Saccharomyces cerevisiae S288C: one gene and its partner. The protein of the gene in region 2 interacts with the protein of the main gene of each other region in a biochemical or structural test. Each region holds a gene or a part of one and is shown on either strand. Other genes may lie near its edges.

Region 1 (9,744 bases), on a different chromosome or scaffold from region 2:
CGTTGCCTCACTCAATGAATTGTATCAAACACAGCAAGACCTACCCAAGGTAAGATATAACGTTGAAAAGGTCAAGCGCTTAATGGACTTCCTGGAGGAGGATTGAATAAATAACATATAAGACAGTCAACCTCGTGGTAAATGATAACTATATTCTGGGGCTTTATTCATTTTTTTACACTTTTTTATCTTTGTACGAAGAGCTGAAAATAAAAAAGTATAGAGCCAGCCTTTTCCCACACACTAACGACAAAAGACGATATGCAGGCTGTGCGCATGGGGGAGAATCCAGTTTTTGCCCGTTAAAGAGAAAAAATTAGTGTCTGTGAAACGCGAATACAAAAAAAGAAAAGTAGCAGGATCTTACTTCTCGTAAAGACGTCAAGAACCAAATCAAGTCAAATCGTGGAAGTTACAAGGGGAAAGACCAATAACTTTTAGTAAAGAACAAAGAAAGGTCTATCTCACGCAGTGACGGTCTTTGCGGTAAATCTGTGTATACTTGAAAGAAAACCCTTTTACAATTAAAAAAGGCAATTAAAAATAGAAACAAATCAAATGAGTTATAATAATCCGTACCAGTTGGAAACCCCTTTTGAAGAGTCATACGAGTTGGACGAAGGTTCGAGCGCTATCGGTGCTGAAGGCCACGATTTCGTGGGCTTCATGAATAAGATCAGTCAAATCAATCGCGATCTCGATAAGTACGACCATACCATCAACCAGGTCGATTCTTTGCATAAGAGGCTACTGACCGAAGTTAATGAGGAGCAAGCAAGTCACTTAAGGCACTCCCTGGACAACTTCGTCGCACAAGCCACGGACTTGCAGTTCAAACTGAAAAATGAGATTAAAAGTGCCCAAAGGGATGGGATACATGACACCAACAAGCAAGCTCAGGCGGAAAACTCCAGACAAAGATTTTTGAAGCTTATCCAGGACTACAGAATTGTGGATTCCAACTACAAGGAGGAGAATAAAGAGCAAGCCAAGAGGCAGTATATGATCATTCAACCAGAGGCCACCGAAGATGAAGTTGAAGCAGCCATAAGCGATGTAGGGGGCCAGCAGATCTTCTCACAAGCATTGTTGAATGCTAACAGACGTGGGGAAGCCAAGACTGCTCTTGCGGAAGTCCAGGCAAGGCACCAAGAGTTATTGAAACTAGAAAAATCCATGGCAGAACTTACTCAATTGTTTAATGACATGGAAGAACTGGTAATAGAACAACAAGAAAACGTAGACGTCATCGACAAGAACGTTGAAGACGCTCAACTCGACGTAGAACAGGGTGTCGGTCATACCGATAAAGCCGTCAAGAGTGCCAGAAAAGCAAGAAAGAACAAGATTAGATGTTGGTTGATTGTATTCGCCATCATTGTAGTCGTTGTTGTTGTCGTTGTTGTCCCAGCCGTTGTCAAAACGCGTTAATTCCAACTATTTTCTATATTTCTATTCTATCCGAACTCCCCTTTTGTATATCAATATATCTTAATACTTTCGCCTATTCTTTACTATATTTCCTAAATTTTCTCTGGTCTGCAGGCCAAAAACAACAACTTACTACTGAATCATGGACGTGTATTTAGTTTAGCCAAGCAATATTTAAATATCACTCTTCCTAAAAATACATTGGGCATTACCCGCAAACTAACCCATCGCTTAGCAAAATCCAACCATTTTTTTTTTATCTCCCGCGTTTTCACATGCTACCTCATTCGCCTCGTAACGTTACGACCGAAATCTCACTAAGGCACGGTTTGTTGGGCAGTTTACAGATGTTGGATAACCAGTTGTTTCTAAACGGTTATGCCTCATATATAACTTGTTAACTGAAGGTTACACAAGACCACATCACCACTGTCGTGCTTTTCTAATAACCGCTATATTAGACGTTTAAAGGGCTACAGCAACACCAATTGAAATACCATCATTATGAAGCCGGAAGTTGAGCAAGAATTAGCTCATATTTTGCTAACTGAATTGTTAGCTTATCAATTTGCCTCTCCTGTGAGATGGATTGAAACTCAAGATGTTTTTTTGAAGGATTTTAACACTGAAAGGGTTGTTGAAATCGGTCCTTCTCCAACTTTGGCTGGGATGGCTCAAAGAACCTTGAAGAATAAATACGAATCTTACGATGCTGCTCTGTCTTTACATAGAGAAATCTTATGCTATTCGAAGGATGCCAAAGAGATTTATTATACCCCAGATCCATCCGAACTAGCTGCAAAGGAAGAGCCCGCTAAGGAAGAAGCTCCTGCTCCAACTCCAGCTGCTAGTGCTCCTGCTCCTGCAGCAGCAGCCCCAGCTCCCGTCGCGGCAGCAGCCCCAGCTGCAGCAGCTGCTGAGATTGCCGATGAACCTGTCAAGGCTTCCCTATTGTTGCACGTTTTGGTTGCTCACAAGTTGAAGAAGTCGTTAGATTCCATTCCAATGTCCAAGACAATCAAAGACTTGGTCGGTGGTAAATCTACAGTCCAAAATGAAATTTTGGGTGATTTAGGTAAAGAATTTGGTACTACTCCTGAAAAACCAGAAGAAACTCCATTAGAAGAATTGGCAGAAACTTTCCAAGATACCTTCTCTGGAGCATTGGGTAAGCAATCTTCCTCGTTATTATCAAGATTAATCTCATCTAAGATGCCTGGTGGGTTTACTATTACTGTCGCTAGAAAATACTTACAAACTCGCTGGGGACTACCATCTGGTAGACAAGATGGTGTCCTTTTGGTAGCTTTATCTAACGAGCCTGCTGCTCGTCTAGGTTCTGAAGCTGATGCCAAGGCTTTCTTGGACTCCATGGCTCAAAAATACGCTTCCATTGTTGGTGTTGACTTATCATCAGCTGCTAGCGCTAGTGGTGCTGCCGGTGCAGGTGCTGCTGCCGGTGCAGCTATGATCGATGCTGGCGCTCTGGAAGAAATAACCAAAGACCACAAGGTTTTGGCGCGTCAACAACTGCAAGTATTGGCTCGTTATCTAAAAATGGACTTGGATAACGGTGAAAGAAAGTTCTTGAAAGAAAAGGACACTGTTGCTGAACTTCAAGCTCAGTTGGATTACTTGAATGCCGAATTAGGTGAATTCTTTGTTAACGGTGTTGCTACTTCTTTCTCTAGAAAAAAGGCCAGAACCTTCGATTCTTCCTGGAACTGGGCTAAACAATCTTTATTATCATTATACTTTGAGATAATTCATGGTGTCTTGAAAAACGTTGATAGAGAGGTTGTTAGTGAAGCTATCAATATCATGAACAGATCTAACGATGCTTTGATTAAATTCATGGAATACCATATCTCTAACACTGATGAAACAAAAGGTGAAAACTATCAATTGGTTAAAACTCTTGGTGAGCAGTTGATTGAAAACTGTAAACAAGTTTTGGATGTTGATCCAGTTTACAAAGATGTTGCTAAGCCTACCGGTCCAAAAACTGCTATTGACAAGAACGGTAACATTACATACTCAGAAGAGCCAAGAGAAAAGGTTAGGAAATTATCTCAATACGTACAAGAAATGGCCCTTGGTGGTCCAATCACCAAAGAATCTCAACCTACTATTGAAGAGGATTTGACTCGTGTTTACAAGGCAATCAGTGCTCAAGCTGATAAACAAGATATTTCCAGCTCCACCAGGGTTGAATTTGAAAAACTATATAGTGATTTGATGAAGTTCTTGGAAAGCTCCAAAGAAATCGATCCTTCTCAAACAACCCAATTGGCCGGTATGGATGTTGAGGATGCTTTGGACAAAGATTCCACCAAAGAAGTTGCTTCTTTGCCAAACAAATCTACCATTTCTAAGACGGTATCTTCAACTATTCCAAGAGAAACTATTCCGTTCTTACATTTGAGAAAGAAGACTCCTGCCGGAGATTGGAAATATGACCGCCAATTGTCTTCTCTTTTCTTAGATGGTTTAGAAAAGGCTGCCTTCAACGGTGTCACCTTCAAGGACAAATACGTCTTGATCACTGGTGCTGGTAAGGGTTCTATTGGTGCTGAAGTCTTGCAAGGTTTGTTACAAGGTGGTGCTAAGGTTGTTGTTACCACCTCTCGTTTCTCTAAGCAAGTTACAGACTACTACCAATCCATTTACGCCAAATATGGTGCTAAGGGTTCTACTTTGATTGTTGTTCCATTCAACCAAGGTTCTAAGCAAGACGTTGAAGCTTTGATTGAATTTATCTACGACACTGAAAAGAATGGTGGTTTAGGTTGGGATCTAGATGCTATTATTCCATTCGCGGCCATTCCAGAACAAGGTATTGAATTAGAACATATTGATTCTAAGTCTGAATTTGCTCATAGAATCATGTTGACCAATATCTTAAGAATGATGGGTTGTGTCAAGAAGCAAAAATCTGCAAGAGGTATTGAAACAAGACCAGCTCAAGTCATTCTACCAATGTCTCCAAACCATGGTACTTTCGGTGGTGATGGTATGTATTCAGAATCCAAGTTGTCTTTGGAAACTTTGTTCAACAGATGGCACTCTGAATCCTGGGCCAATCAATTAACCGTTTGCGGTGCTATTATTGGTTGGACTAGAGGTACTGGTTTAATGAGCGCTAATAACATCATTGCTGAAGGCATTGAAAAGATGGGTGTTCGTACTTTCTCTCAAAAGGAAATGGCTTTCAACTTATTGGGTCTATTGACTCCAGAAGTCGTAGAATTGTGCCAAAAATCACCTGTTATGGCTGACTTGAATGGTGGTTTGCAATTTGTTCCTGAATTGAAGGAATTCACTGCTAAATTGCGTAAAGAGTTGGTTGAAACTTCTGAAGTTAGAAAGGCAGTTTCCATCGAAACTGCTTTGGAGCATAAGGTTGTCAATGGCAATAGCGCTGATGCTGCATATGCTCAAGTCGAAATTCAACCAAGAGCTAACATTCAACTGGACTTCCCAGAATTGAAACCATACAAACAGGTTAAACAAATTGCTCCCGCTGAGCTTGAAGGTTTGTTGGATTTGGAAAGAGTTATTGTAGTTACCGGTTTTGCTGAAGTCGGCCCATGGGGTTCGGCCAGAACAAGATGGGAAATGGAAGCTTTTGGTGAATTTTCGTTGGAAGGTTGCGTTGAAATGGCCTGGATTATGGGCTTCATTTCATACCATAACGGTAATTTGAAGGGTCGTCCATACACTGGTTGGGTTGATTCCAAAACAAAAGAACCAGTTGATGACAAGGACGTTAAGGCCAAGTATGAAACATCAATCCTAGAACACAGTGGTATCAGATTGATCGAACCAGAGTTATTCAATGGTTACAACCCAGAAAAGAAGGAAATGATTCAAGAAGTCATTGTCGAAGAAGACTTGGAACCATTTGAGGCTTCGAAGGAAACTGCCGAACAATTTAAACACCAACATGGTGACAAAGTGGATATCTTCGAAATCCCAGAAACAGGAGAGTACTCTGTTAAGTTACTAAAGGGTGCCACTTTATACATTCCAAAGGCTTTGAGATTTGACCGTTTGGTTGCAGGTCAAATTCCAACTGGTTGGAATGCTAAGACTTATGGTATCTCTGATGATATCATTTCTCAGGTTGACCCAATCACATTATTCGTTTTGGTCTCTGTTGTGGAAGCATTTATTGCATCTGGTATCACCGACCCATACGAAATGTACAAATACGTACATGTTTCTGAGGTTGGTAACTGTTCTGGTTCTGGTATGGGTGGTGTTTCTGCCTTACGTGGTATGTTTAAGGACCGTTTCAAGGATGAGCCTGTCCAAAATGATATTTTACAAGAATCATTTATCAACACCATGTCCGCTTGGGTTAATATGTTGTTGATTTCCTCATCTGGTCCAATCAAGACACCTGTTGGTGCCTGTGCCACATCCGTGGAATCTGTTGACATTGGTGTAGAAACCATCTTGTCTGGTAAGGCTAGAATCTGTATTGTCGGTGGTTACGATGATTTCCAAGAAGAAGGCTCCTTTGAGTTCGGTAACATGAAGGCCACTTCCAACACTTTGGAAGAATTTGAACATGGTCGTACCCCAGCGGAAATGTCCAGACCTGCCACCACTACCCGTAACGGTTTTATGGAAGCTCAAGGTGCTGGTATTCAAATCATCATGCAAGCTGATTTAGCTTTGAAGATGGGTGTGCCAATTTACGGTATTGTTGCCATGGCTGCTACCGCCACCGATAAGATTGGTAGATCTGTGCCAGCTCCAGGTAAGGGTATTTTAACCACTGCTCGTGAACACCACTCCAGTGTTAAGTATGCTTCACCAAACTTGAACATGAAGTACAGAAAGCGCCAATTGGTTACTCGTGAAGCTCAGATTAAAGATTGGGTAGAAAACGAATTGGAAGCTTTGAAGTTGGAGGCCGAAGAAATTCCAAGCGAAGACCAAAACGAGTTCTTACTTGAACGTACCAGAGAAATCCACAACGAAGCTGAAAGTCAATTGAGAGCTGCACAACAACAATGGGGTAACGACTTCTACAAGAGGGACCCACGTATTGCTCCATTGAGAGGAGCACTGGCTACTTACGGTTTAACTATTGATGACTTGGGTGTCGCTTCATTCCACGGTACATCCACAAAGGCTAATGACAAGAACGAATCTGCCACAATTAATGAAATGATGAAGCATTTGGGTAGATCTGAAGGTAATCCCGTCATTGGTGTTTTCCAAAAGTTCTTGACTGGTCATCCAAAGGGTGCTGCTGGTGCATGGATGATGAATGGTGCTTTGCAAATTCTAAACAGTGGTATTATTCCAGGTAACCGTAACGCTGATAACGTGGATAAGATCTTGGAGCAATTTGAATACGTCTTGTACCCATCCAAGACTTTAAAGACCGACGGTGTCAGAGCCGTGTCCATCACTTCTTTCGGTTTTGGTCAAAAGGGTGGTCAAGCTATTGTGGTTCATCCAGACTACTTATACGGTGCTATCACTGAAGACAGATACAACGAGTATGTCGCCAAGGTTAGTGCCAGAGAGAAAAGTGCCTACAAATTCTTCCATAATGGTATGATCTACAACAAGTTGTTCGTAAGTAAAGAGCATGCTCCATACACTGATGAATTGGAAGAGGATGTTTACTTGGACCCATTAGCCCGTGTATCTAAGGATAAGAAATCAGGCTCCTTGACTTTCAACTCTAAAAACATCCAAAGCAAGGACAGTTACATCAATGCTAACACCATTGAAACTGCCAAGATGATTGAAAACATGACCAAGGAGAAAGTCTCTAACGGTGGCGTCGGTGTAGATGTTGAATTAATCACTAGCATCAACGTTGAAAATGATACTTTTATCGAGCGCAATTTCACCCCGCAAGAAATAGAGTACTGCAGCGCGCAGCCTAGTGTGCAAAGCTCTTTCGCTGGGACATGGTCCGCCAAAGAGGCTGTTTTCAAGTCCTTAGGCGTCAAGTCCTTAGGCGGTGGTGCTGCATTGAAAGACATCGAAATCGTACGCGTTAACAAAAACGCTCCAGCCGTTGAACTGCACGGTAACGCCAAAAAGGCTGCCGAAGAAGCTGGTGTTACCGATGTGAAGGTATCTATTTCTCACGATGACCTCCAAGCTGTCGCGGTCGCCGTTTCTACTAAGAAATAGAGAGAGCACTACGTAGTCCCTCTTTTAATATGTAACGTGTCGCTTCTATTTATCAGACATAATAGTAATTACTTTGTTATTTTTCTATCGTTTCCTTACTTTAGCCTCTGATTTCGATCTGGCCTAATCATTGTGTACGTCTATAATCATATGGCCCTGAGCGTACACACCGTTCAATTCTTCTATTTGGTCGGCCCACACAAATTCGCGCGGGGGCATATTGACGCGTGGAAGAATAGAAGTCCGCGTAGCAGCTCTGGGGTAATTAGGCTTTTACGATATCGGCTGGCCCAGCACCGGTTTTTATTCCTCCCGTGGTTGTTGTCTCTACCGTGAGGAGGGGAAAGGGTCAGGGACGGCCGGTAGTTATGTTGTCTCAACGATTACTGCCATCTATTGTTTACACCAATCGCGTGGGGCAAGGGGCTGGAAGGCTGTGGTGTACAGAATAGGGTCTAATACCCGATGCGCGACGCTCCTGCGACTGGTTGTGTGAGCCACCCCTTGATCGCCTCTGCCAAATACTCAGGGAAGAGAAAAATCGCGAAGGTGGACGAGTGCCCTTAAAGAACCAGCATCCTCGATCGCCGCTGCCGTTCGCCCTGGCTTAGCGGTGGGAAGCATCCTTTGGCTTTCGAATTCTCCGCCGTTGAGTCCCCCTAAGGGCCTTATTTATCCCCTCTATTTTTTTTTAGAAAATGTTTTCTTTTTCAAGATTTGTTTGCTCCTTCACGGCTTCCCCCTTAACCGTTCAACAGTCTTCCGTATATAACAATCTCAATCCACTCTTATTGCCTATAATTTTGATTAATTCTTATTCATCCCGGCAGATAAAGTTTCGTCTTGTTTTGAAAGAGACAGGAGTTCTTGGCTGCAGTATTTTGCAACAGCTTCATTAACCATGTATGTAAAGAAAAAATCTGGAGCGACTTACTGGCTTAGCTTTTTTTACTAACACATAAATAATACTGTGATAAGATAAGAAAAAAACACGAAATGGAAAATACCACGAATCGTAATACTGCAGGCGTTCTTACGAGCAGCAATGGTAACTTTGCCACCAATAGTGTAGCGGCATCAACTCCGAAGAGGTCCAAAAGTGCTCGAAGGAAAACGTTCAAATGCACCGGATATGACGGTTGTACGATGTCCTTCACTAGAGCGGAACATCTTGCACGTCATATAAGAAAGCACACTGGTGAAAAGCCGTTCCAGTGTCCTGCATGTTTGAAATTCTTCAGTAGAGTTGATAATTTGAAACAGCATCGGGAATCGGTCCATGCACATAAAAACCACCATTCTACCAGCTCGCACCAGCGTAAGCCTTCCTCTTCATCTTTATCCTCCTCTTCTTCTGCATCTTCTTCGTCTTCTGCTTCATCATCTACATCATATAGTGATCCTTACAGGAAAACTAATATTAATAGCGGGAACATGCCGATGATGGCAGAAAACGAAAAAGCGCCCCAAATAATACATTCTTCGCCGGAGTTCATTACTAGCACGAGAAGCATCCCACCCATCTCTCCAAGGTCCATTTATAATACCCAACGACAGCAACAACACCAACAACAACAGCATCAACAGGCTCCCTATTATTTTCCTTCCCATCCAATCACTGATAGTTACTACCAGTATCCTCTTCCCAGTAATAATAACACCATCAATTATTTACCATCAGTAGATGTGCAGTATCCTTTGAATGTGAGCCCCTCCTCAACGAGCCATCCGGCCTCTGAGGTAATCATATCGTCCTTTCCTCCGAGGTCCATGCCAAGTACTTCCTTCAAATATAAAGATTCTGCCGACTTTCAAGCACGGACAACTATGAACAAATACAATATTAGACCAAGCAATATCAATGTCAATACTAGTAATATCAATAACCATCTTGATTCATTCTCCCCGCCGTTTTCTCCGTCAACGACAGTTGCTGAAGCAAAACCAATTATTTTACCACAGTATCAGCAGGCATTTAGCCAACCACCAAATGGAAATAAAAACAATAATATGTCTTCCTCGAAGAATGGCGGCAAAGGGGGAGAAAATTTCAAGAATACTGATGATCGCAATGATAATAATAACAAAAAGAGGTCGGAAACTTTATCAGAGTCTGATATTTCGGTCAACACCAATAAGAAAAGG
Region 2 (7,463 bases):
TCCAGGTCGTGCGGATGCAAAATATCATCTACGTTGTTATAGTTTACATTCGCTACTACGACCGGATGAGGATGTAGATGAGATGCATGAAGTACGGGATCCGAATTTACCAAACCTTGGTTTTGCCTTAGATACTGGTAGGAGCTATCGAAAAAAGATGTTGCAGTTTTCTTTTGAGCGGCGGAACGATGATAACCTTTAGAGTATATGAATGATTTGAAAGCCATTTTCGTTTGTGTATGCTTGTTTTTTCTTTTCTGTTTGTTGTAGTCTCTATAAATTTAAATGCACTTATCTTTTTATGCAAAAAAAGCTGGGCGAGTTATTTGTTTCTATATTTGTATAATTTTTTTTTTTGTGAAGATGAATATAAACTGACAAAAAATTGTGTCAGAGTTGAAGCTATAGCTCCTTTTATGATGTGTCTTGGTTCTTTGGGTGCGATATTAGGGAAACAACGCACAGCAAATTTTCTTCTGCTTTCTTATAACGTTATAAACAATCCTGTTGTCTTGGTTTATTATGTGGAAAACTTTTCACGGATCAATTTTATAAAGCATACAACTAAAGAGAAAAGTGTAATATGGACGAACGAGAGACAACTTAATCCATGGATTTGTAATTGACGTGTGTATGATTCGAGGGAAACTGACAGTTTTTGCTTTGTCATGGGGGAATTGTAAGGCACACCGAGTCTCGGCCCCGAGTGCCTGGCCAATGAGAACGCGCGCATTCGGAGCTGCCCCACTTTTTGTGCGCTCTTGCATTTCATTGGTTAGCCGGAGGAATTCGGCGGTTAAAAGCGGACTCGAGCGGAAATAAAGTCTTTGCTTATTGTATGCCAGGAAAAGCTCTACAAATCTACTAAAAGAGTCAAATATACAGCTTTGCCAAGCGTGCGGCATAGGGAATAACAACAAATTGGAAATGTGCGGCTAGCGTAATCTTGGTATCTACTACCGACTCTGAAGAGTTTAGCGGGCTCTCAGACGGTTTTTTCGCTTTTGGCATTTTATTCAGGTAGCCTTAGATGTTAAATTTTCCATGGCATCTTGCGTAAAGCCTGCTAGGTTCCTTGCCACGTATAATTGCGCCGCGAATTCTGTGATAAATATATTGTAAGATTTTCTGTTGTCTTGGAATTGCTCTCTCTTTAAATAATACTTTATATGTTTACCCCAATTCTTTGCCGCCGAAAGGTCAGCGTTGCATTACGTGGTGTCCGGTCGCTATTTCCTGGGTTTTCTGCGGCAGATTCGCACTGCGCGCCACAGCTGCAACAACTGCAGTGTTATTTCGGGTGCCAATTTAGCGTGCTTCGATCTAACTATTCTGTAAATTCTGTAGTGACTCTTTAGGGCGAAGTACGTATTTCATGATTTAAAATCCCCGTCTTCAAATATACCGAAAAAAGAAACAAGACATTTTTTAGCAGTTTATGTACGCATTTTAAAAGCCGGGAAATGCTTCTTGTTACCCCTTTTGGCGCTTTGGATAAGTAGTTCACTTAGCTATTTTTTTTTCCGGTTCGAACTCGGGGTGAGGCTTTATCATGCACTTTTTTTTGGCTATTATTAATTTTCGCAGCCTTAATTTTTCCCTTTCCATTTTCTCGCATGTGGCGGTTTTCAGTATTACTTAGAGATGCCTTAAATAAATCTAACAGGCAGGTATACCAGGTACGAGTTAAAAACCTTTATCAGGTGGCCGACACTAGGGAATAAGACAGCATGGAGCGGCCTGGCTTGGTATTGCAGGACCTTCCACCCGAAATCCTGATAAACATCTTTTCTCACTTAGACGAAAAGGACTTGTTCACGTTGCAAGAACTTTCTACGCATTTCCGGAACTTAATTCACGATGAAGAACTTTGGAAGAACCTGTTTAAGTCTAGAGTTCACACGACTCATTTCCCCACATTTTCTCAGTCTTCGAAATTTAGTGTAGAGTATATTGAAAGGACACGGGGTCTTCATCATTGGCAGCATAACAAGGCTATAAGAACCAAATACACAATAATTCCGACGAGAAACTGGGATCAGCCCAGTATAGAACGCATAGTGTTTGATTATCCACGAGTTGCAGCTTATAATGATGGTACCATTACAATTTTACAGTTACAAAATCACAAAAGGCAGAAGAAATTTAAGAAATTGATTTATATTCCATGTACAACACCACAAGGTTGTTCTACCATGGACTTCAATATTAATGCTGCAGTGTTTGGTAGGTTTGACGGCAGAGTGTTTGGAAAACTGCTAAGTAACAAATCGTACTTAACGCCCGTGATGGAATTTACGGGAAGGCATAGTGCAGGCGTTACTGCCATTTGTAATTCAGAATCCTGGGACACGTCAAGAGAGGACTGGTCTGTTAGTGGCTCTGAAAACGGTGAAATTATATGGTGGTGCGAAAATAAGCTTGTTAAGATGTGGAAGGTTTCTAATAGGGTAATTTGGAAACTGGCTTTTTTTAAAGATTGGACCTTAATTATGGATGATGAAAAGCTGTACATTATCCATCAAATGCAGGAATTGCACAGTATTGATATTCCTAAGGATCTGGACGAACAGCCTATGAGGGTACGGTTTTTCAAGATGGATTTCGGTTCCATGACTTTGGTACTTGCTGACCTGAATAACGTTTATACAATATCGGTCAATCCCAATGGTAACTTCGGCAATTTGAGAAAGTTGGAGATGCCTGAACAAATATGCGCAGTTGAAATAGATGAAAAAACTTCTCAAAGGGAACAAAACTGGCAATTTGCTGGTGATGACGGCTGCTATATCAGTCTTTTGACGACACAGAACACTTTATACATTATCAATATAAGAGATCTTTCTTCGTCAGGCTTAAAAGTTCAATGTAAGATAAGTTTTGATGAGCAGGTATACGTATCGCAGGTGACAAATTTAATAGTTGTGGTAGCATTGCCAAATGTTCTTCAAATATTGAACGCGATGACAGGCGAGTTAATAAAGACAGTGTTGAAAACCGAGAAGTTTCCCGAATTTTTGAAGGTATCGCAGGATAAAATCATTATGGGAAGCGGTAACGTTTTGAATTATTTAAAGTTTGTTTCAAGTGATTCAAAGAAACATCACCATTCCACTAAAGGTAAAAACACAGTAAGCAATAAGTGGAATGAAACTTTGAACACGGAGCTGCAATATTATGATGAAGATGAAGACCTTAGAAGAAAAAGACAGTCAGAAATATCAAGATTGATCGATGCGTATGGTGGAGACCTTGAACTTTCAGGCGACACCGATGAAGAAAACGACATTCAGTTGAGAATTGCACTCTTAGAATCACAGGAGGCGCAAGCACGGAATCAAGCTGAAGCGGGGGAGCCTGTCGGAGATGATGAAGATGAGCAGTTAAGAAGGGCGCTGGAGGAATCTCAACTGATATATGAGACGCAAACGAATAGCTCTGCGAATCATGGTAATAATACGAATGATGAGATAGATGAAGATGATGAAGAGTTTCTCAGAGCCATCAGACAATCAAGAGTGGAGGACGAAAGGAGAAGACATCTTAGAAATCATACTACAGGTCGACGAAATGGGCCCTTGAGCGACGATAATTTTGCTACATATGGTGCAGCAGAGTCATCCGAACGAACCTCAACTGAGAACACTATCGGTAGTTCTGTTGGCGTTGATGCTAGTAATAATGTTGATGAAGACTTACAATTGGCCATTGCGTTGTCATTGAGTGAAATCAATTGAAAGTATGTACATTTGGAAGAGCATATGTTAAATATTTTATTTATAGATTTTTCGTTGTGAAATATTATTTTTTTTTTTTTGAAAAAAATGTCGGACTTTATTCCTCCTAATTATTAATAAAATACGAATATATATCTAAATATAATTAATGCTTATTTACATGAAAAATCATCAATCGTAAACAGTTGATTAAAAAACAAAAACTTTATCGGTTCCATTACCTTTGTGAAACCCATTACTCCACCCCAACTCCTTTGCATAATTCAAAACCATTTCATTCATTTTAGGTGGTCCGCAAATCAATAAACGATGGTCCTCCGCTTGTTTAGGTAGGTATCTTTTCATTTCCTCTAGAGTTACGTACCCAACATCACCGTTCCATTTACCGTTTGGCTTATGAATTACATAATGAACTTTAAAATGCGGGTACTCCTTAGCCATGTGGTCTAGTTGCGATTTCATGAGAATGTCATCCTCTGTTTCGTTTGCGTATATCAAAGAAATGTGTGTTAGGTCTTCTGGAGAGGGTATGATTTCTTGCAGCACTTGCAATACAGGGGTTATACCAGACCCCCCTGCGATTATACCCAACTCTGTTGCGGTGTCCTGATCATATTCCAGCTCACCTAACGGCCCTTTAAATTCAACATACTGGCGAATTTTTAATTTATCAAAATACTTAGAAACGACACCATGTTTATACGTCTTGACTACTAATTCCAAGTGACCCTCCGTATTAGGAACATTTACTGGCGTATAGTACCTCACTAATCGCTCACCATTTATTGTAACCCTTACTGCCAGGTGGTATCCCATGGGAATATGCAATCTTTCAAATGGGTACTTTAACTTGAAGCAGTACAGACTAGTATTACGAGAAATGCGGGTCTTCTTGGATAGCGGTAGCGCGACCCATTTATTTCTGTAAAGAGATTTATCAGTTCCAATCGAAATAAACGCTGTGGCATAAAGTACTACGAATTGCAGCAATGAAACGACCACGATTCTACCATTTTGCGTTTTCCAAAAGTAAAGAGGTGTAACCACACAATTCAGAAGCAATCCAGTACAAAATGGATAAAACGGATTTGTCGAAACAAAAGATATGCATGTCTCTACTATCGACATTGTTGCGAATGGTTGCTTTTTACAAAGAAAAAATGTGATATGAGTTAATACTAAACATACTTAAATCCTAGAGAGAAAAAAAGTACTGCAATATATACAGCACTCAAAATACATTTCTATCTGATTTCTAAAAACTTCCCTGTAGATGGATCTACGTTACGCCATGCCGATGTTTCGTTTTTGCTTATACGACCAATCATTACCGCGTTCGGCTTTTCCAAAAAAAAAAAACTATAGTAAGGATAATGAAAAGAAAAAAGGGTCCCATGATTACTAAAAAGCTCTAATTCAAAAAAAAAGTCTTTGATAGGCAGCTAGGAATAGTTATTAGAATGTACATGAACAGTCATCACACTGCTATATATATATATATATATATTCTTTTTTAGTAAAATATAGAGATTATTGAGACAAAAAGAGACTAGTCGGACAACTCACTAGGATCTATAATACCATTTATGATAGCCCACTGTTTGTTTGCCAAGAATACATTATCGGGATCTTGCTCCTTTCTTATTTTCCGGAACTTTTTCAAATCCTCGCCATACCATTCTTCAACCTTCAATGCCATCCCCCTCATTTCAAAGTCATCGTAATCAGTATCCTTTTTCACTGGTCCAGCAGCTAGAGTGGTTGAGCCTAGGAAGTTCTTGGCCCAATGTGGCTTACCTCCCGCTACCATCATAGTATTTTCAAAAAGGGTAAACCATTTATGAATTGGAGTATTACAGCCAAACGGCCTATAAATGGTAGCATTTATGTACAACGTCAACTGACTGTTGGTAACATTTTCCAACGGAGCAAATCTGCAATGGGATGGTGTGTTATCCAGGAATGGGCGGCACACATTGCCATAAACGGGACCGGGACTGGTGTTTGTTCTCTTGCTAGTATCCAAGGGTTCAGAAGGTAATGTAGTATTTGAGCAACGGACTTCCATAGGCACGTGGACATAAAATTCTTTGTTTATGGCAGCCTGCGCAATAGAATGATCCAATGAACGTAAGACTTCCAAACCATTATCCATAGGGCACCCCCATTCATCAACAAATTGTGAAAACAAACAGTCCATATTAAATCCGCTGATAGAATCGGTAACATTAACATCACCAGTAGAGCTCTTCTCCAATTTCCCGTATTGCCTGTTGAAAACGAACTTTTCCACAAATGGGGTTAATGGCGCATAGATTTTGGTAGAGATCCATAATAGAGTTTCGTAGAAAAATCTACCCAGCTTGGTACCCCACCATGACTTGGCTGGACCATTTTGGGCATCTGTAGTTTTGTTACCCCTCCATAGAACACATTTTCTAGTATAAGGGTACCACCAAACTCTGATAAATTCAGATGAAGTCCATAGGGTATCCCATTGCTTCAAAAGGTTTTCAAAAGTAATCACTTCTTGAGTGGATTTAATATTGAAGCCGGGAACAACCCTGATAGTAGCAGAGACAATGATACCAATTTTTCCAACTGAAAGTAAAGCAGCTTTAAAGACTTCTGGATCGTTTTCAGCATCCAAGAACTTCAATTCGCCCTTACCATTAACAATAGTCAAGTTTACGTATTGAGAAGAAATCAAACCGTGATAAGGTGAGGAACCATGACTACCAGTAGAGATTATGCCAGCAACACTTTGTTCTGAGATAGAGCCTAAATTTTGGATAGAGTAACCTTTCGCACCCAAAAATTCATTCAATTGGTAAAGCCTCATACCGGCATCAACTGTGACATCGGCATAATGTAACTCAGGATATTCAACAAACTTTTGTACTTTGTCCAATCTGTCTAAGTTAACAAGCCATTCATCAGTAACGCACATGTTACTAGGAGAATGGCCCGAACCAACAGTAACTAAGCTTTTTTCAGCTAGCCTGGCACTCTTTACTAACTCGACAACCTCATCAATTGAACTTGGTTGGAAGTAACGTTCTGGTTTTGCAGAATAAATTCCGGCCCAGTTTTTGAACACATAGTTCTTTCTAAATGGGATAGTAGACATGGGGTGAAAAACCTGATAATATCGGTAACTTTAATTTTACGGGTTCTTGTTTTACCTTCTAATGAATTTTAAGTTTTGAAAAGCAGAAAATCAGATATTGAAACTATAGATCTGCTTACCTTGAAGTTCACTATTTTTGGAATTCTCCTTGCTAATAGTTACTTCTACTCTTGCTTTGTCCTGGATATCAATGGAAGATGTCCTCATTTCCATTTTTTTTTTCAATTCGACGGCAAGGCGGGAGAAAAGGAACTAGGGATACAAAAATGCAATTACTAATGAAATCCGTGAAATAATCATGGAAATGGGTGATGTAAGAATCTGATGAAACAAGTACAAATGTCTTTGGCCCATCAACTACGATGAGACTTACTAAGCTTTCATCAAATGCAGGTTAGAGAAGGAGAATGGTTTTTTTTTTTATTTTTTGTACATAGATATTAGAGAAATATAATAAGTAGATTATAGATAAGATATCACCAAAGAGATATAACAGTAGGGGGAATTTTTTTTTTTACAATATACTTGAAATATAGAAAGGATAAGGAGGTTGGGGGCGAGAGTGAACCTTAAAATTCCTCTTCCTCAGCGTATGA

Evidence for each region.
Region 1: the proteins of UFO1 (region 2) and FAS2 form a complex in vitro, tested with the Saccharomyces cerevisiae proteins (one study listed by BioGRID).

What each region holds. Positions count from the first base shown.
Region 1 is NC_001148.4:106,717-116,460, forward strand, and holds FAS2 (trifunctional fatty acid synthase subunit FAS2), read left to right. Parts: upstream 1-1,935; coding exon 1,936-7,599; downstream 7,600-9,744. Other genes in the region: MIND complex subunit NSL1, read left to right, coding at 1-106; SSO1 (syntaxin), read left to right, coding at 559-1,431; USV1 (Usv1p), read left to right, coding at 8,596-9,744. UniProt on the Saccharomyces cerevisiae protein: Fatty acid synthetase catalyzes the formation of long-chain fatty acids from acetyl-CoA, malonyl-CoA and NADPH.
Region 2 is NC_001145.3:90,505-97,967, forward strand, and holds UFO1 (SCF ubiquitin ligase complex subunit UFO1), read left to right. Parts: upstream 1-1,730; coding exon 1,731-3,737; downstream 3,738-7,463. Other genes in the region: RPM2 (ribonuclease P), read right to left, coding at 1-227; AIM33 (cytochrome-b5 reductase), read right to left, coding at 3,927-4,865; ALO1 (D-arabinono-1,4-lactone oxidase), read right to left, coding at 5,287-6,867; alpha-tubulin TUB1, read right to left, coding at 7,437-7,463. UniProt on the Saccharomyces cerevisiae protein: Substrate recognition component of a SCF (SKP1-CUL1-F-box protein) E3 ubiquitin-protein ligase complex which mediates the ubiquitination and subsequent proteasomal degradation of target proteins. Probably recognizes and binds to phosphorylated target proteins.